2 linked regions of the Astyanax mexicanus genome follow. The protein of the gene in region 1 purifies or fractionates together with the protein of each later gene. This does not show direct contact. Links are inferred from orthologs where the notes say so. Each region holds a gene or a part of one and is shown on either strand. Other genes may lie near its edges.

Region 1 (12,287 bases):
TCCCAGTAGGAAATAGAGTAGAAAAATCCTGTGAAAACATTGCTGTTAAAATATCTTAGTTCGACCAAGGAAATTCTACATTTAGTGTTTAGTTTTTTCTGTATCCATGACAACAGAGCTCTGATTGGTTAGTTTGATTGATAAAAATAAATACACAGCTGCACAGACCATCAGTTTTATGTATATTCATGTATAAAACTCAAACAAAACATATTTTTTAAGTTTTTGTCGATAAATAAGATCAGTACTTGGTGTGAAAGGGCTTGAGTCGGTCAGCAGGACCTCTAGCTCCACTGTCTCCCCGTCCCCGTCCTCACTGCATGGTGAACTCGTATACACGTCCCTGTCCCTGAGATTTTGTGTTTCTGTAGCATGCAAAAGCCAAAAATGCCTTGGTCAGATTTCTCGGGCATTTTTGAACGGCGACGTGATAATGTTTCATAGTATAAAAATAATAATAAGAGATAAGAAACTGCACTTTTATAACCTCCAATCCCAGACTTCATGTATACGGTTGGTTGTTTTTTGTTGTTTTTGGTATTTTTAAGGGTTTTTTTGGACGTACACTATATGTTTAAAAGTTTGTGGACACCCCACTGTAGGAGAGAAGTACTGCCAATAGAATAGGACTCTGTGGAGAAGCTTCCCAAACACAAAGATATTGACTCCATGTCTAATAGTGTCAGGTGTGAGTTATAAAGGGTTATAAACCCCTCAACAGTACTGATCATATATTTCACTTGCTGTCTGTATTTAAAACACCAGTTAGCTCATATGTATATATCCACTTATGCAAGACCAGCTACCTATTTCTATGAATAGCGAGAGACCAAAATACTCTAAACTAACCACATTGAGGGAAGTGCTAAGGGTCACTAAGAGTCGAATTACTATTTTAGTAATATGTTATAAATTACTGATAAAACTGGATCAAATTTGACTTTTTTGCCCCAAAAAACGTAGTGATTTTTGCACTTGTTCCTGCTGCTGCACTTACGCAGATCTCCACATTGATGGACATGTTCCAATCTAATCCGCCATTCTTTGTGCTGATTGGCTGTTTTTATTGATGGGCGAGACTTCTTCCATAAATCTAGTCTTCTCTAGACAGGTGTCCCATCACTTTTGGCCGTATAGTGTACGCAGTGAGGGCGCTGGGAACATGGTGCCCCATTGGGCACAATCAATATTTGTTATATAGAAAGAGATTGAGAGAGTTTTTATGTGATTCGTCTTTTTCGTAGAGTTTATCGTAGTTATACCGATATCGTAGCGTGTATATATATATATTTATATATAAATATATTGCGCGGTATATTGGTGCATTGGCTGGAGTTCGGACGCAGCTGTAATACGAGCCGAGGCTCTTGGGTTTATCGCGCTACAGTTCGGGATCTGTATGTTAGCGGTACCTGATAAAATGAGGGACATTCTCTTCGACGATGTTGTTGTTGTTGTTTTATTATTATGCAAATAGCTTTAAGAACAGGAAGTGGTTTGACGTAGTTTAAATAATAGACGGTACTTTTAGAGATTTTTATTATTCAGAATATTCACAATATTCAGTGACTTTCAGCCTTCGAGCAGAGGAGATCCAACCCCAGAACATAGACACTAGGTAGATCATATACTATATAAAAATATAAATATATATGCAATAGAAATAAATTATATAAATATATAAATATTTATCCATATTTATTTTTTATTGTTGCCTAAATTAAATTCAGTTCAGATGCATATGTATGTATGTTTGGTATGTTTGGTATGTTTTTTGTTTTTGTTTTTGTTTTTTGTTTATTTAAGGCCTCCTCCACACGTATCCACACGGATTTAAAAAAAATTAATGTTAAAAAATTTTAAAGCTTTTGTCTGTGTTTTGGCCTCTAGTTCACACAAAAATAGCTAATTTATTGGCTTTTTAAAACCGATGCATTTTTAAACACTTTTAAACACTGTTTTCATGAAGTTGCTTTATTAAAAGAGCTAACATCACAAAACATACACATTTATTATGGCTGAATCCCAAAAATCTCCTCACTCCCTATATAGTGAACTAAATAAGTAATAAAACTACAGTGTCTACACACAGAAATACACTAGATTCCAGATTTACATATATTAATAAATGAAAATACTGTTTTAGAACACTTAGAATCTGTAACTACCTGATTTGCTATTACTATTAGCGCCCCCTCAAGGCCTGGCATGCTAATGCAATCGCTTTTCTTTCATTGGAGCAAAATCATTTTAAAAGATATTCGGATACGTGTGGACACGGCCTCGTCAGATATAAGAGGCTACGATTGGCCGAAATTGGTCCAGTAAGAGATGTGGTAACCAGCCACAGTCCTTTCCAGCATATAACTGCATCAGTAGCACATCTGTAATCATAGTTTTACCATGTTATTGTCAGTTATAAAGACGTTTGTGAGATTTTTGGTCATTATTAGTGAAATGGGACGATTAGAGTCGATTTATTCTTCTGCGTGGAGTCAACTCAGAGTTTACGACATCGCCCGCGCAAGTAGCTTTACGCTGTTTTAAGTGTTTAGGTGTGTTGGACCAATCACAGTGGCTGTGTCTTGATTTGATGCAGAAGAATAACTTGGCGTTCAGAACTAAGAAAACATTCCAGACCTGTGATCCAGCCGTAGCTTTACTGGTGCCGAGACAGAATCCACTGTGAACTGAATTCAGCCTGTAGCGTTCTTCCCCAACACCAGATCAGAAGCTGGAGATGCTCATCAATTACAGTAAAGCTTCAATTTCCCTTTTTATTGCACTAGAACACAGTAGTGTGTGTGTGTGTGTGTGTGTAGCTTTAGCTTAGTTAAACACCATGACCCCATTAGTTTCTCTTTCGTTCCCACAGCAGACGGTGCTTCTCCTCCACTGCATGATACTATAACACTGCATGACCCGACTCAACTCAATTCAGCTTCTTTACTTTCCGTTCGGATGCTTTTACACTTTATTTATTCCTTTTAGACTTTTTTTTTACTCTGGTCCAAACCAAAGTAGCAGGTGTGAAAGGTTCCGTAAACCAAAGAACCAACAAAAGAACCTATATTTCATGTGAACAAAGTAGAGTGAAATAAGGGTTGAGTTCAGTCAAACTAGTGTGGAATCAGAGTCAGTCTGTGTTAAATTCGAGTCGCGAAAAGTCAAATAATAGTACAATTTAATCAAACTAAATTTGAGTCGACTCAAATAAAAGTCAAATATAAGTCAAGTTAAATCAAACAAAAGTCAAGTTTAAGTCTAATAAAGTCAAAAATTAGTTGAGTTAAATAAAATAAGTCAAATTGGAGTTTAGTTGAATCACATAGGAATCGAGGTCAATCAAACAAAAGTCAAGTTTGAGTCTAGTAAAGTGAAATCAAATTAGAGTTGAGTTAATTTAAATTAAAAAAGTCAAATTGAATCAAATAAAAGTGAAATAAGAGTAGAGTTGAATAGTTGAGTACAGTGCAATAAGAGTGAAATAAGACTCTAAGTTAGAGTTAAGTTGAGTAGTGTAGGTATCATGCAGTGGCAAAGCACCTTTATCCTGTTAATCAAATCAATATTCAGTATTGATTATTTAGGATCGTCTACATGCTGTAGTTCTGAGTAATAATAATAAATTCCCCAGTTTATACTCTGTACGCTAGTTTTCTCCAGCGATGTGTGCGAGTTAAACACCATGATCAGCTAAGAATCGCTCTAATGAACAGTGAGCGACGTTTTATTTTATGTTGACCATTTTCCGTTTGTTTGTGTTGTTGGTCAGTGTAACGGTGGACAGCAGTCCAGTCTTTATATAGTTTATATACCAGTTATTTATAAATATTATGTTGCCTTTATGAGAGGTTTAAAAGAGAAGCAATAGTTACGATAGTTATTATTATTATTATTATTATTATTATTATTATTATTATTATTATTATTATTATTATTATTACAGGGGTTAATTAACAATGTTGTACAAGGAAAGGACCGGGTTCAGATGTTACCTCAGTTGAGTTTGCATGTGTTCAAGAATTTACTTTCAGGTTTGAACCAGTCAAAAGTTTGGGCACACCTCCCCTTCTCATTCAATGTTTATTTTCTGTATTGTAGATTAATACTGAAGACATAATAACAATGAATTATGTAGTAAACAGTAAACAAACAGATTATAACAAACCATCCTCCTAGCAACACCTTAGCAACCAAAGCTATACAATAGCAACACTTTAGCTACCACTTAGTAGTAATGCCTTACCAACTGACTGCCAAGCAACAACACAGTAATCAACACTTATACCATAGCAACACCTTAGCAAACACCAAGCAACCAACATCAACACTACAGCAACAGTTTAGCAATCATTGCCAGAGAAACACCTCAGCAACCCCGTAGCAAAAAAATATCAATACAATATACTATAGCAATATCTTAGCAACCACCTAGCAACAATTTAGCAACCAATACCATAGCAAAACCTTAGCAAATTCATATAAAAATATGAAGGTGCTTTCCGTACTCTTTTTATTTCATAATTAACAGGTTTGATCATTTATAGTTAGTTCCGATGTTTTTAATATTAATCTATGATGTGGAAAATAAAAAAATCATAATAAAGAAAAGTCATTGTTGATTGGTGGGGTTGTGAAGGGGGTGTGTCCAGATTTTGAGTGATGGGTGGGAAGGGGGGGTTTGTGACCATGCATTTCTGCTCAAACTCAAGACGACCAAAGTTACCGCGCCTCGTATCAGATAGTTCAGAAACACTTCGGCCAAAGCCTTTTGCACTTTGATCTGTATCTCCTCCGTCCTGCGCCGTGACGACGGAGGCTCCGCCCCCTGGCTGGGTTTACGTGGAGGAGGGAGGGGCTCCCGTGGCTCAGAACTAATGAAATTCCTTCGGGCTCGGGGTCCAGTCTGCTAATCTGCTCTAATTCGCACTGCCGCTGTTCCAGAGCCAGGGTTTCACTCCCACACTCACCAGAGAGTTAAGAGTTGAGACTTAAATTGAGTTGAGTTAAGAGTTGAGTTGAGAGTTGAGTTAAGAGTTGAGTTGTAACTCGGAGCAGGACGGTTCTCGGTTTGATGATTAGTGAACAGTGGAGGTTAACGATTATGAATGTGGGAGAATTTTCCTCTGTGCGTAATTGATTTACTCGTTGTTTGTGCTCACGCTCGTTTGCGTGTCGTACATTAGCTCGTAGAAAAGCTCGTAGAAAAGCTAAGGGCTTGTCGTCCACCAAACAGCACATATAGTACAGCCCTCCTGGCCACTGAGGAACCACACTATTGCTAAGGAACACACTTGTCTTCCATGCACTTGCTAAAAAATGAATTTACCACAGCAACCCTTTACGTTTTTTTTTTTTCTTTGACAAAATAAAGATATTTCAGTTATAGTTTTATGGACAATGCTAATGATGATTTATTCATCTGGATACTCTTTTTTTTTTTTTCTTCTTCTTTTTTTTTTCTCCCTGAAACATGTACGTTTTATTTTTTCTGAGGGTTAGATTTGAAGTGGCTTTCTTCTTCTTTAATTTTTTTTTTATCTATGTCTATTACAGAGTTCGATTATTTGATTTATTAATATATGATCTGTGTTTCTCTGTTAAGGGAAGAAGAGTGTAACGAGCAAATGTACTGTACCTCCAGGTATCTTCGGTTGTTCTATTTAAAGCAATGTGTACATAGTGTTTTATAATAAATACTGGAGGAGTTCTGATGAAATATGACAATAAATCTGAGAGATCTATTTCTCTATAAAAAAAAATACAGTTCTCAGTGTATTTATTGTGTATGTATTAGATCTTGTTTAAAGCTACAAAAGTTTTTAATAAGGAAACCAGCCAATAAAAGCTTTCATTAACCAACAGCTACTGTATGACAACACCTTATCAACCACATAGCAATACCTTGCAAACAATGTAATAACATAGTAACCACCTGGCAATATCTTAACAACCAACATCCATACCAAAGCAACCAACAGGCATACCATGGCAACACCTTAGCAAGCAACCTGTCACCATATCAGAGAGAGAGAATTTTCAAAACTGTGATATTTGGAAAAGATAAAGTATTGGGACAAAATAGAGAACTAGTATTTCTGACTAATAAAAAGTCCAGCCTCATATAAAAATTAATTCAGACTAATACTAATGATAATTGAACGTATTGATAATGATTTTTTCCCCGACAAAATTAAAAAGCATTATAGATGTAAGACAAGGGTCTCCAAACTTTTCAATAGGGGCCACCTTGGGAATGGTGAACAAGTGATTCTTATATTAAACATTAAATTCCATTTTAGTCCAATAACCAACACAAGAAAATCTATCAGCAATCACTAAATGCTTTCCTGTAGATAAATTCCAGTCAGAGAAACTAATGGCTATTTGTTTTTGCTTCCATAACACTGTTGCAACCGATCACTGTACATAAAACTTAAACATAATTGTGAGCCATTAATAATGTATTTTAGAGTGATGCAGAGGTTAAAATACCAGTAGTCTGCAGTGGTCGGGTGAAATATTTTACAATGTGATGGTTGAGGTTAAATGTACGAACAGTGTTGCTGGATTAAGTTAGGTTACACAACTCATTCTGTTCCTGCAGTTCTGCACTTTATTCATTATTACTCTGTCACATACTGGACTATCTCTGCACTTCCACACACACAGATATCAGCGCATCTATATAGCATTGTATTGTTTTATATCCAGTAACATTAAAATATATATCTACAGTACAATACCATATATCAATATGACTTTGGTGTGTATTGTGTGTATACTGTGTATTATATTATTTTATTATTCTACTCTATGTTGTAAATATTTTCATTTGCACACTAGTGACAATAAAAATATATATTGAATTTTGAATATACAGTGTTTATATTTCACTCTGACCTGACTCGACACGCTCAAACGGGGCGGGGTTTTCTTGTGTCGTTCCTTTTTCCAATTGGTGGCTAACAATGCTGTAATCTGATTGGTCGGGTGAAGCATTCGACGTAGATCCGCCCGAGAAGCGGAGAGTTGAGGAGCCCCGGTTGTTGTTGTTGGGGTTGCGGAGAGCGGGCCGCCGCCGTACCGGGGGTTAGGAGTCCCCGAGCCGCTGGAGGAGGAATCGGTGTATTATTATCGTGTTTTTCCCCGCCCCGTGTTTCGCCATGGCTCCGCCGGTGAGGACGTTTCTGCCGCTGTTTTCCGCGGCGGTAGGAGGGTGACGGTAGGCGGGCGGGGGTCACATGATCGGCGGGGCGGAGAGGCGAGCTGCCCGAATCCAATATGGTGGTCGTGCGGCGGTCGCTGCTCCCGCTGCTGCTGCTTCTCCTGATCCCGCTGCTGCTGGGGGGCAGCGCCCAGAGGCTGGTGGGTCTGCGGCTGGAGGAGGTGCTGGAGGTGCAGCAGGGGGGGCAGCTGCAGGAGGAGGCCGGCAGGCGGGTGTACATGCGCGGGCGAGTTCTGTTCGCTGCTCCGGGGTCTGGATTCAGGCTGAGGCTGTTTGGATCTGAGCTGCTGTTTCTGGTTAAAAATAATAATGTTATTAATAATAATAGTAATAACAATGCAAGCTGGCCGTGGCTCGCGTTCGCTCGGGAGGCGGGAGTGGAGAACTTCAACTCCCAACCTGGACCACCTCCTCCTCCTGCTGCTCCTGCTGCTGCTGGTGCCTCTGGTTCTGATGGTCCTAGTTCCAGTCCCGGTCCAGTAAAGGAACAGGAGGAGGACCCATGCAGGCAGGAGATCCTGAGGAACTCTTCTATATTCCGTGTGGAGGGGGAGTTCTCCGCGGATGAAGACAGCAGCGGTGTGCTGGAGGTCCGCACCGCGGAGGGGGACGCCTCCAGCGCGGGCGCTCTGCACCGGCTGTGTGTGCTGAGCGGGCCGGGTTGGGAGTCGCTGGGGGCGGATAGATTCCAGCTGAAGGCGCCGGAGCCAGAGCTAAAGCCTGAGCCAAAGCTACCCCCAGACTGGATCCCTACCTGGGCTTTATCGGTAATTATAGCAGCCTTGGTGTTTATTTGTGCTCTGATTCGCAGTTTAAGCCTCAGTCTGCTCTGTCTCGACCCCCTCGAGCTCTACGTGCTCCACAGCTGCGGCGCGGAGGACGAGAGGCGGGCGGCCAAGCGCCTGGAGCCGCTCCGGAGACGCGGTAACTTCCTGGTGTGCTCGCTGCTCCTCCTGACCGCGCTGGGTCACTCCGCGCTCGGCGTGCTCCTCTACCGGGCCTTCGGCTCCATCCTGCCCGCGGTCTTCACGTGTGGAGCCCTGCTGTTCCTCCTGGCCGAGCTGCTCCCGCACATCATCAGCTCGGGCTACGGCTTCCACCTCGCCCCCGGTCTGATCTGGCTGGGTCAGGTGTGCCTGGCGCTCACCTGCCCGCTCACCTGTCCGCTCGGCGTGCTCCTGGACGTGGCGCTGCGGCGCGACGTCAGCACGTGCGGCGTGCGCGAGAAGGTGATGGAGATGGTCCGCTCCAACGTCAACGACCCGTACAGCGAGTTCGTGAAGGAGGAGTTCCGGCGCGGCGCGCTGAGGAGCAAGACCGTGGAGGACATCCTGACCCCGCTGAAGGACTGCTTCATGCTGCCCTCCACCGCCCAGCTGGACTTCGGAACCATGTCCGAGATCATGCAGAGCGGATACACGCGCGTGCCCGTCTACGAGGAGGAGCGCTCCAACATCGTGGAGATCCTGTACGTGAAGGACCTGGCCCTGGTGGACCCGGAGGACTGCACCCCCATGACCACCATCACCAAGTTCTACAACCACCCGCTGCACTTCGTCTTCAACGACACCAAGCTGGACGCCATGCTGGAGGAGTTCAAGAAAGGTGAGGCGGTGGGACCAACCACAGGTGTGCAGAAGTGTTTGGATACCTGGGGTTGTGTGGTGTTGCATTCAGTAAAGATTACTGAGGTAGTTTGAGATGTTGGAGATTTTGATGATGACCAGACAAAACAAAACAAAACATGGCAAGATAACACAACACAAATGTAATAAATACACTGCCTGTCCAAAAATAAGTAAATAATCTGGACCTGATGCTGCAGTTTGTCTGCAGGTTTAGGTTCAGCAAAGGAATATACTGAATATAGACCAGGTTCTTCTTCCATCAATGGAAACCATCAGGTTCTTCCATTAATTTTTCTTCATATTCCAAGATGAATAATATCAGGATTGATGGTGCTGGAATTGTGAAAGAGTTCAGGGTTCAGGGAGCATGAGATCATCATTTTCACACATGGATTGAGAGAGAGTTCACCACAGAGTCCAGATCTTAACCTCATTGAGAATCTTTGGGATGTGCTGGATGGAGAAGAGCTGCTTTGTGCAGTGGTCAGACTGCACAGATAAAAAAATTAATGCAAAACTGGATTGAAATAAATAAATCTTGTGACGTTGCAGAAGCTTATTGAAACAATGCTACAGTGAATGCAAAGTCACACAATCAAAGATAAAGATGGTTCAGCTAAATATTAGAATTTTTTTTGTTGTTGGAAACTTTTTCTTTGGCCAGGCAGTGTATCGTACTTGTGTTGGGCGGAAATCACTTCATGCATAGAAACACACACTCACACACACAAAAATAGTTGAATATTGCATTTATTAGCAGGAGTGTCCACAAACATTTGACATAAATAATGAAAAAAAACACTGTTGGCTGTAATTTAGTTTTATTTCTTTTTTTCTAGGAAACTCTCACCTGGCTATAGTGCAGAGGGTGAATAATGAGGGGGAGGGAGACCCGTTCTACGAGGTTCTGGGACTGATTACTCTGGAGGACGTTATAGAGGAGATCATAAAGTCTGAGATCCTGGATGAGTCTGATGGCTACAGTAAGTATAACCTGTACATGTGAAGCTTAGAACAGAGCACATCTACTGCCTGCAAAAATCTGATTTGTGTTGTAAAGCTATGTGGCTGAGCAATATTGAAAAAACAATGATGTATATCCAATGCCGTTGTTGAACTGATAAACTGTACATCTCAGTGTGTAGTCATAAAGCACTGAATAAAGCGTGAGTTTGTTGGGTCAGTGTGTGGTGGTGTGGAGAGATGGTGTGTAGAGTGTTTCTCTGATGGAGTGTCTTCATGTCCTGCAGTGAATATGAAGGTGAAGCGTCCCGCCGCCGCGCTGGAGATTCCTCTGGAGCCTCGCTCGAGTCAGGAGGAGTTCTCGCTCTTTAAACCACCGGAAGGAGAACCCAAGATCCGCACGTCTCCTCAGCTCCTGCTGGCCACACACCGCTTCCTCTCCAGAGGTGTGGAAACACTGAGCTTCAGCTGGAATATTAATTTAATTGAATAGATTAATTGAATTACTTTACATACAGAAGCTGCAGAGTGAATCTTAGTAAATAGACTAGATTTACTTCTGAAAACTTGTAAAGAACTCTCTTACATAACAATGATTTTCATATTTTTACAAATTTCATTATATTTAACTGAAATATGTGGAGGTTATGTGCTGTATTTTTCACACTTTAAGATGCTCTTAATATCTTAGTACAGCGTTATAAGGGTGAGTTTTCAGTGAAGTTTCTCCAGCACTAAGGCTGGAACAGTATTAGCATTAGCCGCTAACCATAGTGCTAGCTCTTTCGCTGTACAGAGATGAGTTTAGTAGACTGTAGTCTGCATGTTTACGCATTGTAGTTTCTCATTGTAGCACTTTTGGGTGGCATTAACTAGCGCTAAGCACTGCGAACCATGGCTAGCGCTGCTGCTAACTGCACTGTTATATATTGGAAATGTAAGCTTGCTGTAAATAAAAGGAAGCACTTTACATACACACATAAATGTTTTTTGCTGAATTAGAAGGGAAGCATGGTTACACCCATGTTCCTTACTAGTGCCACTTGAAATGCACCTTATAATCCAGTGTGTCTTATGTATAAAAAAATAGATCAGAAAACAGATGTTTGTTGATAATGCACATTATAATGCAGTATGGCACGCATAATATGGCACACCATGTTTAGTAATAAGCAGTCTATAAAGAACAGGTTGAGTAATCCTGCAGCTCCTCAGTGTTCTTATCTTTAGCTCTTATCAGTTCAGAATTGCAGTTTAGACTCTTACAGAATACAGAAACACAGATCTGCGTTTCTCCTGCAGTTTATGAGTAATAAAAACACAGTTATGATTATTAATAATCCTGTTTTTTCCTCTCTGTTACAGAGGTGGAGCATTTCAGTCCACAGCGAGTTTCAGAGAAAGTCTTATTTCATCTCCTGCGGCACCCGAGCGTCAACCAGGAGGTGAAGTTTGACCCAAACAACCGTCTGAGTCCAGATCATTACCTCTACACCCGGAACCACCCTGTGGATTACTTCATCCTACTGCTGCAGGTAGACCCGCCATAATTACCCACCTGAGTTATTTTACAGTATAGGAACAAAACGTCAGAATTAGCTTCTGGGGCTGGGTATTGTTTTAAAATTAAATTCAGTACCGATACCCAAATGATACAGGTCTATAGCAGTGTGTGTAATAGTGTGTATAGTAGTGCAGTGTGTTTGGTGTGAAATCATGTAGTTGAAGCAGAAGCAGAGGGGTTTGTTCACTCTGCTGAAATGTTTGAGTTGTTAAACTTGTACCAGCATGTCGTCTCAGGTCGCAGCTCCAGCAGGAGGTTAGCAGGACCTCGGCCTCTGAGGGTTGTTGAGTTACTTTAACAGGATGATGAAACGCCTCAGAGTTCTCAGAAATCTGCTGTTGTTTTCAGTAACTGAAGTTTAGTGCTCAGAGTAAATGTATTTTATACAACCTCTATACAAACTTTATGAATATGAACTTGTTTTCTTTGCATTATTTGAGGTCTGAAAGCTCTGCATCTTTTTTGTTATTTCAGTCATTTCTCATTTTCTGTAAATAAATGCTCTAAATGAGAATATTTTTATTTGGAATTTGGGAGAAATGTTGTCTGTAGTTTATAGAATAAAACAACAATGTTCATTTTACTCAAACATAAATCAAATCAAATTTATTTATTTATTTTGTAAGGTGATAATGATGTATTTTAATGCAGATCTGTTTATCTGCTCTAAACTCAGAGCTGATAATATAGTCCAGTCAAACACATTCCAGATCTTTCCACTGCAGTGTGTGTTCTCTACTGTCTCACGCTGTCTGTGCAATAACACACAATAAAGTGTGTGCGTGTGTGTGTGTGTGTGTGTGTGTAGGGTCGTGTGGAGGTGGAGATTGGTAAAGAAGGTCTGAAGTTTGAGAATGGAGCTTTTACTTATTACGGTGTATCAGCTCTCACAGCTCCCTCC
Region 2 (13,259 bases), on another chromosome or scaffold:
CCACGACGCTTCCTGGGAAAGTTAAAAAAAAAAAAAAAAAAATACACACTGTCTTAATCTCCAAAAGATAAACTACTGCACTACTGTGGTAAAGGCTAAATCATTTAGTTATACAGCAGATAAATTGACAGATTCCAAACAATAAATCATGAAAAATATGAGGTGCTTTGCAGGCTGTTAATAAGTTTTTAATAAAAAACAATTATTTGCTTTAGGTGGTAAAAATATAATCACTTACTGGCGAATAAACTGAACAGCGTCTTCGTACTTCATTCCACACTCAATCAAAGCAAGAGCAACCAGGACCGGGGCTCTAAGAAAAGAAAAACACACAGAGCACATAAAAGATTTGTCAAACAAAACTTGTTACTGTCCCTGCACTGAAGATATGGCAACAAAACCACCAACTGCCTTATCTATAAATACAGAAAATAAACTGTCCAAGGCCAAAACGGTTAGCTGTGTTCTTGTTACAGCCTTGAAATTTCAATGCAGATACGAAAATAAAAACAATACAAATACATAAAAAATACATTAACAAAAAAACTGATCCATACGTCAATATAAAAAAAAAATGGTAAAAGATTCAAGACCTATATACTCCTATAAAACAAAAGAAAATCTAAATACAAAATCTGCCAGTAAGGTAAGCAATTTTCTTTTACATTGTTTTCCCTACATACATTTTCTTCAGCCTTAAGGTAAGACTTGAATCAAGTACAAATGTTTTATGTCTTAAATTTGGACACAAGAATCAGAGTAAACTGACTGGTGACTTTTTGCTCTTGTTTTGATCTTAAACTACACGGAGAAGGGAACAAACATAGATTTATTGATTCGAAATGAGATCATTTAACTTGTGAAGATTTCGTTTTTTGCAGTTACAATAAAAAAGCCACTTCTTTTTTTTTTACAAGAAAGAAACTCTTGAGAAACCTCACCTTCCAAGGCCAGCTACACAGTGGACTGCAACACAGCAGCCTGGCTCCTCCCTGAACTTAATCCTCAACAGATTTAGCCAGTCATCAACAATCTGGTTAGAAGGAGGAGCTCCATCATCAAATGGCCAATCCTGCAAGTTTTGAGAGATATTTTAGTCTGTGCACTTTAAGATGGTTATGTTTTTATGTAAAACTTTCTTCACATTATGTAACTCACCAGAACCTGAATGCCCTCTTTGGCCACCAGGTTGGCATCATAAGTTGCTTCACACACTCTGACGACTGTTGTCACACCATACTTCTTCAGTTCCTGTTAAAGAAAAAATCCGGTTAATCATTTCAGAAAAAAAAAGGAATTTTCTAATGGATTCTCTGTTTTTAGAGATTATAGATTATATTTTCCTACACTATTCCTAAAAAGGGTAATAAGTTTAACAGTATTTCAACTAAAAAAAGATTTGGGAGATATTCCCTCTAATCCCCAAGGCTACATAACACTCATGTCTATGGGTTGAATTTAAGAGAAACCAAAACCTTAGCCTATGTCTAAACTTTTAATTTTTAACACAGTTGTATATGAAGTATATAGAGTATATAAAGTCAAGTTGCACAATATATAAATGCTCACCTCAATGAATTTATTCAGAGTGGCATTGGTGGGGTTGTGAGTGATGAGGAACCTCATGTTTTTATAGGTGATCTCCACCGGGGCAGGTCTATTCATACGAGCCATTGTTGAATGGAAAAAATAATTCAAAATGTACTAAAACTTCACTGACCCAAAAAATTAATTTCTGCCACAGAGAGTCAGAAAGAAAATGTGAGGATGGCGTAAACAACAAATTCTGGGATGGCGTAAACAACAAATTCTGGGAATGAAAAAAGGGGGGAAAGAATTTTACATAAAAAATAAATAAATAAAAAAAAAGGCTGGTCCTCAGGTGAGCGAGGAGACGGAGGGCCAACGAGGGCAGTGCACTTCTGCAGATTTTTTACCCCATCCAGACCGATCTGGCTGCTGTGGACGCCCGCTCTCCGTGTCCGATCCCGCCAACCTTAAAACACTCACACAAGTCTCTCTTCCAGTGAGGTAGCAGGGCTCGCCGTTCACTTGTCTGCATATACGCCGTGCTGAGCCTGGCAGTAGTCTCCACTGCCCTTCAGAAACTCCATAAATGTGTGACCCAATACACCACAGAACTGCTGTAAAGACAAAACAGAAAGATGGAGGGTCAGAGAAAAGCAGGTAAACAATAGGGCTGCAATAATTAGTTAACATAATCCACAATGTTGATCATATAAAATTGCTAGTGGGAGACGGGAATTTGCCGCACTCACAAAGTTTACACTCAACTTGGTCTGTCTCTCCAAAAGTGCCCAAACACAACAGAAAACATATTTACTTACTAAATATCAGTACTTTACACATTTAAAGTAGAGATTCACAATGATATCGGAATTATAACGGTATAAAACAGTAGTTGCTGTTTGATAAGCGATAAAAGAAAAGGACCAAGCGACACTGACCGCACTTATATGAATGGCAGCTACTATCTGTGCTACTTTAATTCATAAGAGCCGAGACCCATTTCTAAATATTGATACCAAAATCTAATTCAGAGAGCAGCTCATGTTTTTTTCTTACTGTGAAAAAATGACTGTAAATATTTGAGGGTTATAGTCTATATAGATGTAACAAGTGAATATAATTTCATAATCTGGATTTTAACGTTTTGTTCTAGAAATCATGCCACAACCAATTATATGGAATGGAATGCAATGTACATTTAGTTAAATCGTTGATTGGAAAAGAGCTGTAGAAAAATATAATTTTTAAAGAAGATACTTTTATCTCACGTATCTTACGTACATCCTGCTAATAAGGTCAAATAAATGAACAAACATTCATATACTGTCCTTTGACAAAGTCAGGTCATACAGTATGTCACTTGAGGACTTCATGATTTAAAGTCAAGGACAAAGGAACAAACTTTTCACAACTTTTAAAGTTATGTCACCATAGGCACTTTTGCGTTAAAGGTAATTTTTTATTATTTTTATTAGATTATTTAAATTTATTGTTAAAAAATATTGTTTAAAGCTGTGATTGGTTAATGTAAGATGTTAGCTGAATAAACATTTAATGGCAAAATATATATACACACACACATATATATATATTATATTTATAACTTACACATTTATAGACTACACACCCTGGTTCAGAAATTCAGAAACAAATGTAACATTTGCTTTATATTTTACCTCTCAAGGAACTGTATGCAAACAATAAAATGAGCGGTGTCTCCTGAGATATATATATATATATATATATATATATATATATATATATATATATATATATACACACACACACACACATATACATATATATATATATATATATATATATATATATATATATATATATATATATATAAAATCTAATCTATCTAATCTAAAAAAATTATAATCATGTTAGTTGCCTACTGAAATAATCAGTAGTTGCAGCCATAGATAATAAGTACAGTGGTAGTAGCACAGGTACATCATTATGCTGGTATCCCTGCTGATGCCCATCACAGAGACTCTGCAGTGGAGCAGAGCTTTATTTTATACTCATAAAACAATGTAACACAACCCAAGGTTGATTTATTTACATTTAAAGAGAGAAGGTTAACCCTACTGACTGAAACTTGACTGATTTTATTTGGATTTTACTTTCCTTATTATTTATAAGGAGATGCTGGGCTAGCTGAAGAGTTTCTGTATTTCACTAAACTAACTAGCTTATGGGCAGAGACAATAAACTAGCTTATTAACCTACCTGTGAGCTAAGATACCTAACTACTAGATTAGCTAACGTTAATTGAATTAGACAGAGACCAGAGCTCAGTTTAGCTAAGCTTCCCCACAAAGAAAGCGGCGCACACATATAGAAGCCGTGAAAAGAATGTGCTAGCCTAGCCAACCAGGTGTTCTGTCGAGTTGTGCTCCTCGTCAAATCGTGCTTCCCCAGTGTGTTTTAAAGGTAAAATTGGCAACGAAAAAAGAAGCACGCTCCCAACAGACATCTTGATAACATATTTAAGGACTTTGATGAGTTAGAATCGTGGATAGAGTGCTGTACGCAACTTTCCACATTTTTTCACATCTTTTAAATGGTCTGTGACACGTAACTACATCACCATAAGCTTTTTTGTTGGCTCGTAAGAAAAATTTAAGGCGCATGCGCAGTACTGTTAAGACGCACATATTGATGTGTAACACAATTCAACATAACACCGGCTGTGCAACTACGACCCACCTAACGCTAGCTAAATATGTTATATATGCGGCAAATGGCTAGGCTAAGTTAGAATGATATGCTAGTTAGCTTTAGCTTGAAATAGCTAGCTAGCTAACAACCTGTCGGGCCTCCTGCTGTTGTTATCCTAGTTAGCTAGCTAACGTTAACTAATCTTCTTAAAATACTTTATTTAGTATTTTATAAGAAATCTTTATTTATTAATATTTATTTTCGATTTTTTGTAAACCAGAATAAATTAATGGTATCCACAGAATAACGACGAAACCCGTCGTTTTAAGGTTAGCTAACGCTAGCTAGCTAACTTGCTTGCTGGCTAAAGCACAAAGCTCGCTTGACTGTTAAGTTAACTGTTAAATTAATTAAACTACAATTCCATGGTTTTAAAAAAGAACATATAGACTCATTAACTAATAAAAATTAGGTCACTGTGATTTAGAAGGACGTATCCAGCTATAATCCAGGTTAAAACAGATTATGAAGGACTAATGTCTATTTTAAAGATGGGAATTTTAATCCAGAAAGTACCACACGTAAAAATCCGCACCGGGATTTTGTTCCAACCGTCAGGGCGGCTCTGCTGCAGAACAGCTGCAGCATTGCCGCACTGGCGGCTGTAACAAAATCCAGGACTGGATTAATAAACTTTAGGATCCAGACTACCCGCCTCTACATCCAGCGCTACCAGGCTAAAACAATGACCTCGATTCGACAACAATCTCGCCAAACCCCATAAAGACAATCTTAAAACAGAGCCACGCGCGTATAAAACAAAAGCCCCGCTTTAAATATGAGATTTGTGTACTTACTGGAATATGTTTACTCATTGAAGATTGTAGTTTAACCATAAAGCCGGTCCCGAGAAAGCGGTGAAATCTCTGAATTGTTTTTTACCATACAGCCGCAGCGCGCGCCCTGTCTCATCCGCGACTCCGTCTCTGCCTCAACCGGTTCCAGCCTGCCTGCCTGGCGCGCGCTCGCTCGCTCGCTCGCTCTCCACACAGTAACCGCGCCCTGGATCATCAGCAGGAGGAGGAGGGGGGACGGGTCTCTCAGAACCGGGTCAGCCCGCCGCTGCTGTTGTTCTCTCCCTCCCCGCGCGGTGATGCCATATCAGACCAGGTCGGTGTAACGTTTAGCAGTTTAATTTTCTGACTGTATCAAAGCTAAATTTCAAATGAAGAAGAAATGGGTTTTGGTCAGTGTAACTTTAATTAATTACATTTTCTGACTGTTTGAGGTTAAATTCAAAAATAGAACACTGGATGTAAAAACTTATGATTTCCTTTTTTAAAGTAGTGCAATGTACAAGAAATAAGTTTTCTTCCTTTTTATTTTTTTATCTTGCATTTTGCAAGTTGGATTATACCATCAGATTTGTGTAACGAGATACAAAAATGGACAAATAAAAAAAAGAGAGAACATTCAACTCTTCAGTTTTCTTTAAATTCTGTTTGTGAAAGGCTGAAATTAAATACTCGACAATTAAAAAAATTATGAAAACACATTTGTTCTTCATTTCAAATTTAGCTTGATACAGTCAAAAATTAAACTACAAAACGTTACACTGACTGGTTTTCATCCAGTTTTTTAATTATCAAGTTTTTCATTTCAGCCTTTCGCAAACAAAAATGAAAAGTTGAATGATCTCTCAATTTTCAGATTTGTCCACTTTTTTGTTTGTTTTTTTTGCCGCTGTAATTTTTAAACGTAGCTAAAAAAAACACACCCCGCCACCCCTGAATTTTCACCCACAACCGGATTTTCAAACAAGCCCAATTTGGAGGGAAAACCGTGAACTCTGCAGACATCTCAAGTTGCGAAAATAAATTTCAGGGAGATACCCCCGGACTTAGCTTAAAAATCGCTATTACAAACTGTACAGTGGGCAAGACTTTCATTGTTTTTTACTTTTACCAGACATGGATATACTTTAGAGTAGTCAGAGGTGAAATGAGTTTAGATGGGAGCCATGATGCTCCTTCTTTTACTCACTAAGTGCATCCCGTCCAGAAGGGGAAAGAAACACAGCCCACTCACAATAAATATTAATGGGCTGACTCACAGACTCTTTGTAGAGAACAGGCCAGTCAGAACCCTCTCTGTTTTGCATGCACTTTATGAATATGTAGATGAGGGCAGCACCTTACTCTCCTGCTCTCTTTCTTTCCCACACTCGAGTCTATGGCAGGGCACGATTTCTGCAAAGCAACGGATGCAACACTCCTGTGAACAGTTCTGCATTACGTTCATTGGTTACACAAGTCTCCTGAAGACTGCCTGTGTACCGTGTATTCCTGCATGCGTTTACACAAACCTTTAATGGCTAATTCTGAATGAGACTGACACTGGTAAGAATAGAGCTGGTGAGATCTCTTTATGTGAGAGTAATTTGGCGCCAAAAACTTTATGAACATGTTTTGTACTGCCCATAGACCTATTATAACTTAATATATAATATTAATATATAATATAATAATATTTCCCCTTCAAACTTTGAGCATATGAGCATTCAGCATTTAAACTTTGGGTGAGTAATGGTTTAAAGCAGATGAAGTGTTTAAGGAAGGCATATTTATGTTTTTTTAAGCAATAAGGGTGAGAGCATGACATGCCTCGATCACTCTTCATGGTTTTGCTAGATGGAATTTTGCCTCTTTTCATCACTCCCACATAAAATATAGTGATTTATTAAATTAAAGTCTCTGAAAATATTTTTTTTACACATAAGCTGCATTTACAATATGGGAATATTATGCATATGAAGCCTGTATTATAGATAATGGAGAATATTTGTGGTGAATATTGTTTTTTTCTTCTCTTTGTTTTAAAAAACATCTTTCTAGAAATTGGTCGGGCTGTGTTTAGAGGTCTGTGTAAAAAAGCTGATCTCAGCATAGTTTTCAATGGTGCTATCCTGTACAATAGACCAGTGAACAGCCTGGGCCGCTCTCAGCATCAGCCAATCAGAGGAGGAGTGTGTTTCAGTCACAGGTTGTTAGTTGTGTAAACCATTTTACTGTGGGTGCACTGGGAGGAACTGGGGGTGGGGGGGCAGAGGGAATGTTCCAAATGGTCAGCATTGTACCGGCGGCCTATAAATGATGTGCTTGGCCATAGCTCTTGTTTCAACTTGGAGCTCACAAAATCTGAAACCACCGGCTCAAAGAAACTGGAGACACGATGCAAAAATCAGATGGACCGAAAGAGAAAGTACAGTCTTCAGATTTCTCTACAAAAATATCAAATGTATAACATATATATTTTGAGTGTTTGTAATCCATTATGTATAAAAAAGGGGAATGTCATCTTGGTGCGACTCTCAGAATTGGATTTGCTCGTTTATAACTATGAATATTTTTTGTTTATGTTTATATATAGGAAATGGCATCTACAGATTCAGACCAAGTGGACGGAGGGAACATGAGCCACAGCAGTAAGAAGGGGGTAAAGGTTAGCGGTAAACATGTAGCTTCTTCAGACTGGGACAGAAGGGGGACTCCTGTGCCCATCGTCCAGACAAATTTTTACACTCCAAGTCCTGCTGAAAACCCCACAGTCATTTCTATTGGCCCACACTGTCAGCCCACTGTCACCAGCGAGCCCCAGAACCAGGATTTCACCAGTAATGATGACTGGGGTGGAGAAGACCTCCGGGGACATCCACCCTTCACAGAACAAGGTGTATCTAGACAGACAGTGGAAGAACTGAAGAATATATTACGTGAGAGCTCCATGCTGAGGGACGACGGCCGCCCGGTCAGTCCCCACAGCCACACGCCTGGACAGAGGGTGGACTGCAGACCAGACGACATACCATCCAAGTCCTTTACAACCTTCAAACCAATTCTTGCAGGGAGCAGAAGAGCCTCGAGACCAAGAGATGGTGCTTCTTCTGGCTGGGATTCTAGTGGGTCATCCAGGACCGACGGTCATACAAGCAGGACAACTGGTTACAGGACACCCTCCAGTGATAGAGCCCACTCCTCCGACACGTGGTCATCACAGACAGGTGAGTGTGCCTCTACTGTTCCTCTACTGATGGAGAAATCTGAAAGATTTTGGTGTCCCTCTTATTTATTTTTAATGATGTTTATTTTTATGCGTTCTACAGATAACAGGGACAGTTCTCATACAGAATCTCACGGATCTCAGAATTTCCTTTACGAGCTTGATCTGATTAAGCAGCAGATTTCTCGAGAGAATGTTGGCTTTGTTCGCTTTGAAGCAACAGATCTTCACGGTGTGTCCAGATCCAAGATGGTCCCCGCTCGCTACTTTCATGTAAATATCTCCTGCTTAATTGCTAAATGTAGGGTGACTGAATCAAATGTGCATTAATGAAAGAAACTTATGCTTAGATTTATTTTTGAAATATTTATGATATACAGTGCTATGAGTATTTGCTACGTTAACGTCAGTGTTAATGATTCAATAATAAAAAAGAGAGACTGCAAAAATGGTATCCGTGGAAAAGTTCCAAGGCAAAAACCACTGCTGACCAAAAAAAAAAACATGAAGGCCCATCTCAAATCTTGATGATCCCCAGGACTTATACTGTGAATTTTCGACAAAAAAGTGGAACTTCTTGGAAGGTATTTCCCCTGTTACATCTGGTGTAAAATTATCACATAATTTAGGGAAAAGATCTTTATAATGAAGGTCAAACATGGTGGTGGTAGCATGATGGTCTAGGGCTTCTTTGCTGCTACACAACCTGGATTTGCTGTAATTGAACCATATTTTCTGCTCTTTACCAAAAGTTCAGTCATACCTGCAAGTCCACCTCTAAATGGCTCAAAAAACCTAAGTGAAGGTTTTGGTTGTCAAAGTCTGATTGAGAAGCTGTGGCAGGATCTTAAACAGGCCTTTCTTGCGCAAAACCCCCCAATGTGGCTGAATGAAAACAATTCTGCAAAGAAGAGTGGGCTAAAAAGACTTATTGCCAGTTATTTAAAACGCTTGATTACAGTTGTTTCAGCCAAGGGTGGCTCAACCAATTTATTAGGTTTTGGGGCAAATCATTTTCCACACAGGGCCAGGTTGGTTAAATAGAATTGAATAGAATTCTTCGTAAATTCAATTATCATTTAAAAACTGCTTTTTATATATACTCAGGTTATCTTTGTCTAATAATAAATGTATTTGTTAATCTGAAAAATATAAGTATGATAAAAATCTAAAAAGAAATCTGTAGGGTGCAAATAATTTTTCACAGCACTGTAAATAACTTCACAACTTTAGGATGCTTTTGCATGTTGATAATTCTGTTATTTGTATTACAGGAAAAAGCTGTGTATGGTGTACCCATGCCCAGAAGCTACCTGGAACTGACACTGAGCCCAAAAGACAACGAGGTCGATCATCCATCTGCTGCCAATTTCAGCAGTGACGTTCTTCTGGTGCCTGATCTCTCCACCTTCCGGGTCCTTCCCTGGTCTGAACAGACCGCTCGTGTAATTTGCGATCCCTGCACCGTTACAGGCGTTCCACTGCGCACCTCTCCTCGCCTTATCGCTAAACTAATGCTCGGTCAGCTTCAGAGCATGGGGTTCTCCCTCCATTCCTCCTTCACCTACGAGTGCTGCATATTAGGAGCGCCGGAGCGACTCGGACCCAAGGTTGTGTTCTTTCCCGCTACCACTCTGTTGAGCAATCATGATCTGCCCTTTCTACAGCAGCTGGTGAGAGCCATGTACCACATGGGCGCTGATGTGGACAACTTTGCATCTGCCAGCGGACCGGGACAGATGGAGATCTGCTTCAAGCCGAAGTTTGGAATCGAAGCGGCCGACAGTGCTTTCACATTCCGAACTGGAATCAAAGAGATGGCCAGGAAGCATAACTACATCGTCACATTCCTCACCGACGAGACTCTCAACAACTTGGGACAGCTGTCCCACAGCTTATGGGACGCCAATGGAAGGAAAAGTCTTTTCCACTCGAGCACTGGGGAGCTGTCCGACATTGGCAAGAAATGGCTTGGTGGGCTTCTTCACCACTCGCCAGCATTGAGTTGCCTACTGGCACCGGGGATCGGCTGCCGCAGTCAGCTCTCTAAAGGCAGAGACTCTAAACACCCGTTGTACGCCACATGCGGCTGCAACGACAACAGCTGTTCCTTTAACGTGAAGATCCATGGTGGGCGGGAAATGCACATCGATAACAGGCTTGGCTCAGCTATGGCAAACCCATACATAGTTCTGGCTGCCACAATAGCAGCTGGACTGGATGGCATAAAGCGTAACCTCAGCATAGAACAGGGTCTCAACCGAGCTCCAAACCAACAGAAACAGGTTGTGATCCCAGTTAAACTGGAGGATGCTTTAGAAGCCCTTGCAGAAGATGCTGTGATCCGTGGGTCACTTGGTGAGCCTTTTATTCAGTACTTCATCGCCATGAAGCGCCTTGAGATTGAGACACAGGAGCTTGATACAGACAGAAACAAAGGCTTGGAATATTTCATCTAGATAAAAATATAATCTGATGAATGTTTAGATTCACAGACTGAGATCTTTTCACGTAGAGAAGAGCAAGAATAACAGGCACTCGTTTTTTTTTATCCCAACAATAATATTTGAAGATACATTAAGTAACAAGCTCTGTTTAAGAGAAATAAAAGCTTGTGATGATTTAAATGGAAAATCTGTGTTTTGTGCATTGTTATGTTGTTGAGAAAAATCTAAAATCTGTAAAAAGACACAAAAAGACAATCAAAATCCAGCCGAGAGAAGCTGAACAAGTTTTTATTTGGCAACACGAAGCAACATGAAAAGACAGGACAGGATAAGACGGCTAATGATGCCACTTGTAAAGATAATGTCTGTTTTAGTAAACAGCACCTGTTAGTTTCAACTTCATAACCTTTATATTTTTTAGCTTTTAGCGAGTAACATATAAGAACACAAACGAGCGAGATACGCTGGCCATTTGTCTTGTGGGTCAAGACCAGGTTTTTAGTTCTAAGCTCACCAAAGGATCTACTGTACTTAAAAACCCATTAAGCATGTATATAAATATACATGCAAAAACGCATAACTGCAAATGTCAGTGGGTTAATAAGTAAGAGATCATTTGTTTGATAAACTAATGTAAATATATATTTGCAGTATATATCAGTGAAACGTGAAACAACATGGGCAGCAAAAGCATTGTGTTTATTTCTTAGTTGGGGTTGGGGACCTCATGAATCTGGGTGGGGTGGGGGACTTGGCACTCCTGGGTGGGGTTGGGGATTTTGGAGCTGGGGTCGGAGCCTTTACGGATGGAGGTGGAGTAGGGGTTGGAGACTTAACAGAGGGGGGTGGAGTGGGAGTGGCGGGCTTCATGGATGGTGCAGGAGTTTGGGGTTTGGAGGGTGGTGCAGGTGACTTGGGTGCTGCGGCTGATCTAGACATCTGTCCCAGTTTGGGTTCGGGAATCTCCTCGCCCTGCTTGTAGACGCTGACGGTGATCTCTACAAACTCTCCGCCATATTTGTTCCGCACGTTGATGCTGTACTTGCCAGAGTCTTCCACAGTGACTGAATTGATGGTCAGGCTGGAAAACTTGCCACTCTCGAAGGTGATCTTGTTGTGTGCATCGGACACGACTTCCTGCTCGTTCTTGAACCAGGTGACTTCAGGCTGGGGGTCACCCCACACTGTACAGGTCAAACTGAGGGTCTGTAAAAATTACAGGTGTTAAGGTTAAAAACCTGATTAAAGGATGTGCCTTTTAAAATTACAGATAGAATGTCAACCAATAAGAATGCAGAAGTAAATTATAGAGTTCTGTTCAACTAGTCCAACCTGCAGCACATCACTCTAAAAGTATCCAGTGAGAGGACAGCGGCACTATCCAGTAAGACTGGGCAATAATTATGTTTTGCACTATAAGGTGCATTTAAAATCCTTTAATTTTCCCCAAAAATCGACAATGCAGCATTTAATCCAGTATGCCTTGTATAAATTGTATAAATTGTACCAGTCAGGTTGTAAGGAACAGTTAAGCCACTCTGCTGAAGTACAGCGTTATACAGGAGTTTCACTAGCACTAAGCAGCATTAGCCACAAGCCACAGTGCTAGCTCATCTTCCTTTCAGAGGTGAGTATATCAGACTGTAGCCTGTGTTTACTATGTTAAAACAAGCGATGTGGGACAAACCTGCGCTTTCGGGCAGCATTTACTAGCATTACTAACTGCAGCTAGCACTGCTGCTAACCACAGCTAGCGCTGCTGCTAACTGTGGCTAGCACTGCTGCTAACCGTGCTTTTGAAAATATTAAAAATCGAAGCTTACTGTAAATAAACAAAAGAGCTCAAAAGCACTCAAATAAACAGTTTTCAGGAGAGAAATCAGTGTAGATTAACAACAAAGTAAGACCCTTGTTCCTTACTATTTTTGCTTAAAATGTGCCTTATAATCTGGTGCACCTTATGTATGAAAACAGACCAGAAAATAGACATTCATTGATATGGTGCATTGTTTTAAATCTAAAATTCTACAATACGCATCTTCTCTGATCCTGTCGCAGAGCCGTCAACCAGCCAATCAGGGCAGAGCTTATAATTTTCATTCACAAGCCATCCGTGAAAGAAAAAAACAGTGTGTTCATTGATTAAGGCTAAATAACATGGTAAAAAACAGACGTTAAATAGCAATATTGTGTTTGATAATTTTTCACCCAAACCAAATAAAATATTTACCGTTTACACATCAAATACCATCTTTAATACTCTATAAATTCCTGCACATTAGAGCACATGTTATATTTCCTTATTACCTTATACTCCATAATGGTCACAACATCTGGCAGTCCACCCACGACTCTGCCGCGGTCTGAAGAGAACGAGGGGACAATGTGAGAAATGTTTACTCAGGAATATCAACAGATTAAAACGGCCATTAGTTCTATTTAAAATCTCAATATAAAAGAATAAAACAGTAATTAACATGTGTCCTAAAATACGTGCTGAACAGTAAGCATGTAAGTAAGTTTTATTTGTTCATCATTCTAAATAATACTCAC

Evidence for each region.
Region 2: the proteins of metal transporter CNNM3 (region 1) and ptp4a1 purify together in Homo sapiens (affinity purification with mass spectrometry; 6 studies listed by BioGRID and IntAct, with this or other methods). This does not show direct contact. The link is inferred for Astyanax mexicanus from reciprocal best matches to the Homo sapiens genes CNNM3 and PTP4A1.

Annotation. Positions count from the first base shown.
Region 1 is NC_064427.1:525,027-537,313, forward strand, and holds the start of metal transporter CNNM3, read left to right. Parts: upstream 1-6,996; 5' UTR 6,997-7,287; coding exon 7,288-8,836; intron 8,837-9,698; coding exon 9,699-9,842; intron 9,843-10,109; coding exon 10,110-10,268; intron 10,269-11,187; coding exon 11,188-11,357; intron 11,358-12,194; coding exon 12,195-12,287. UniProt on the Homo sapiens protein: Probable metal transporter.
Region 2 is NC_064423.1:12,465,012-12,478,270, forward strand, and holds the start of ptp4a1 (protein tyrosine phosphatase type IVA 1), read right to left. Parts: upstream 5,231-13,259; 5' UTR 5,058-5,230; intron 2,145-5,057; 5' UTR 1,675-2,144; coding exon 1,570-1,674; intron 1,252-1,569; coding exon 1,159-1,251; intron 1,073-1,158; coding exon 942-1,072; intron 314-941; coding exon 239-313; intron 13-238; coding exon 1-12. Other genes in the region: lgsn (lengsin), read left to right, coding at 7,432-7,461, 7,630-8,260, 8,363-8,532, 9,534-10,718; myom2a (myomesin-2), read right to left, coding at 11,406-11,912, 13,014-13,069. UniProt on the Homo sapiens protein: Protein tyrosine phosphatase which stimulates progression from G1 into S phase during mitosis. May play a role in the development and maintenance of differentiating epithelial tissues.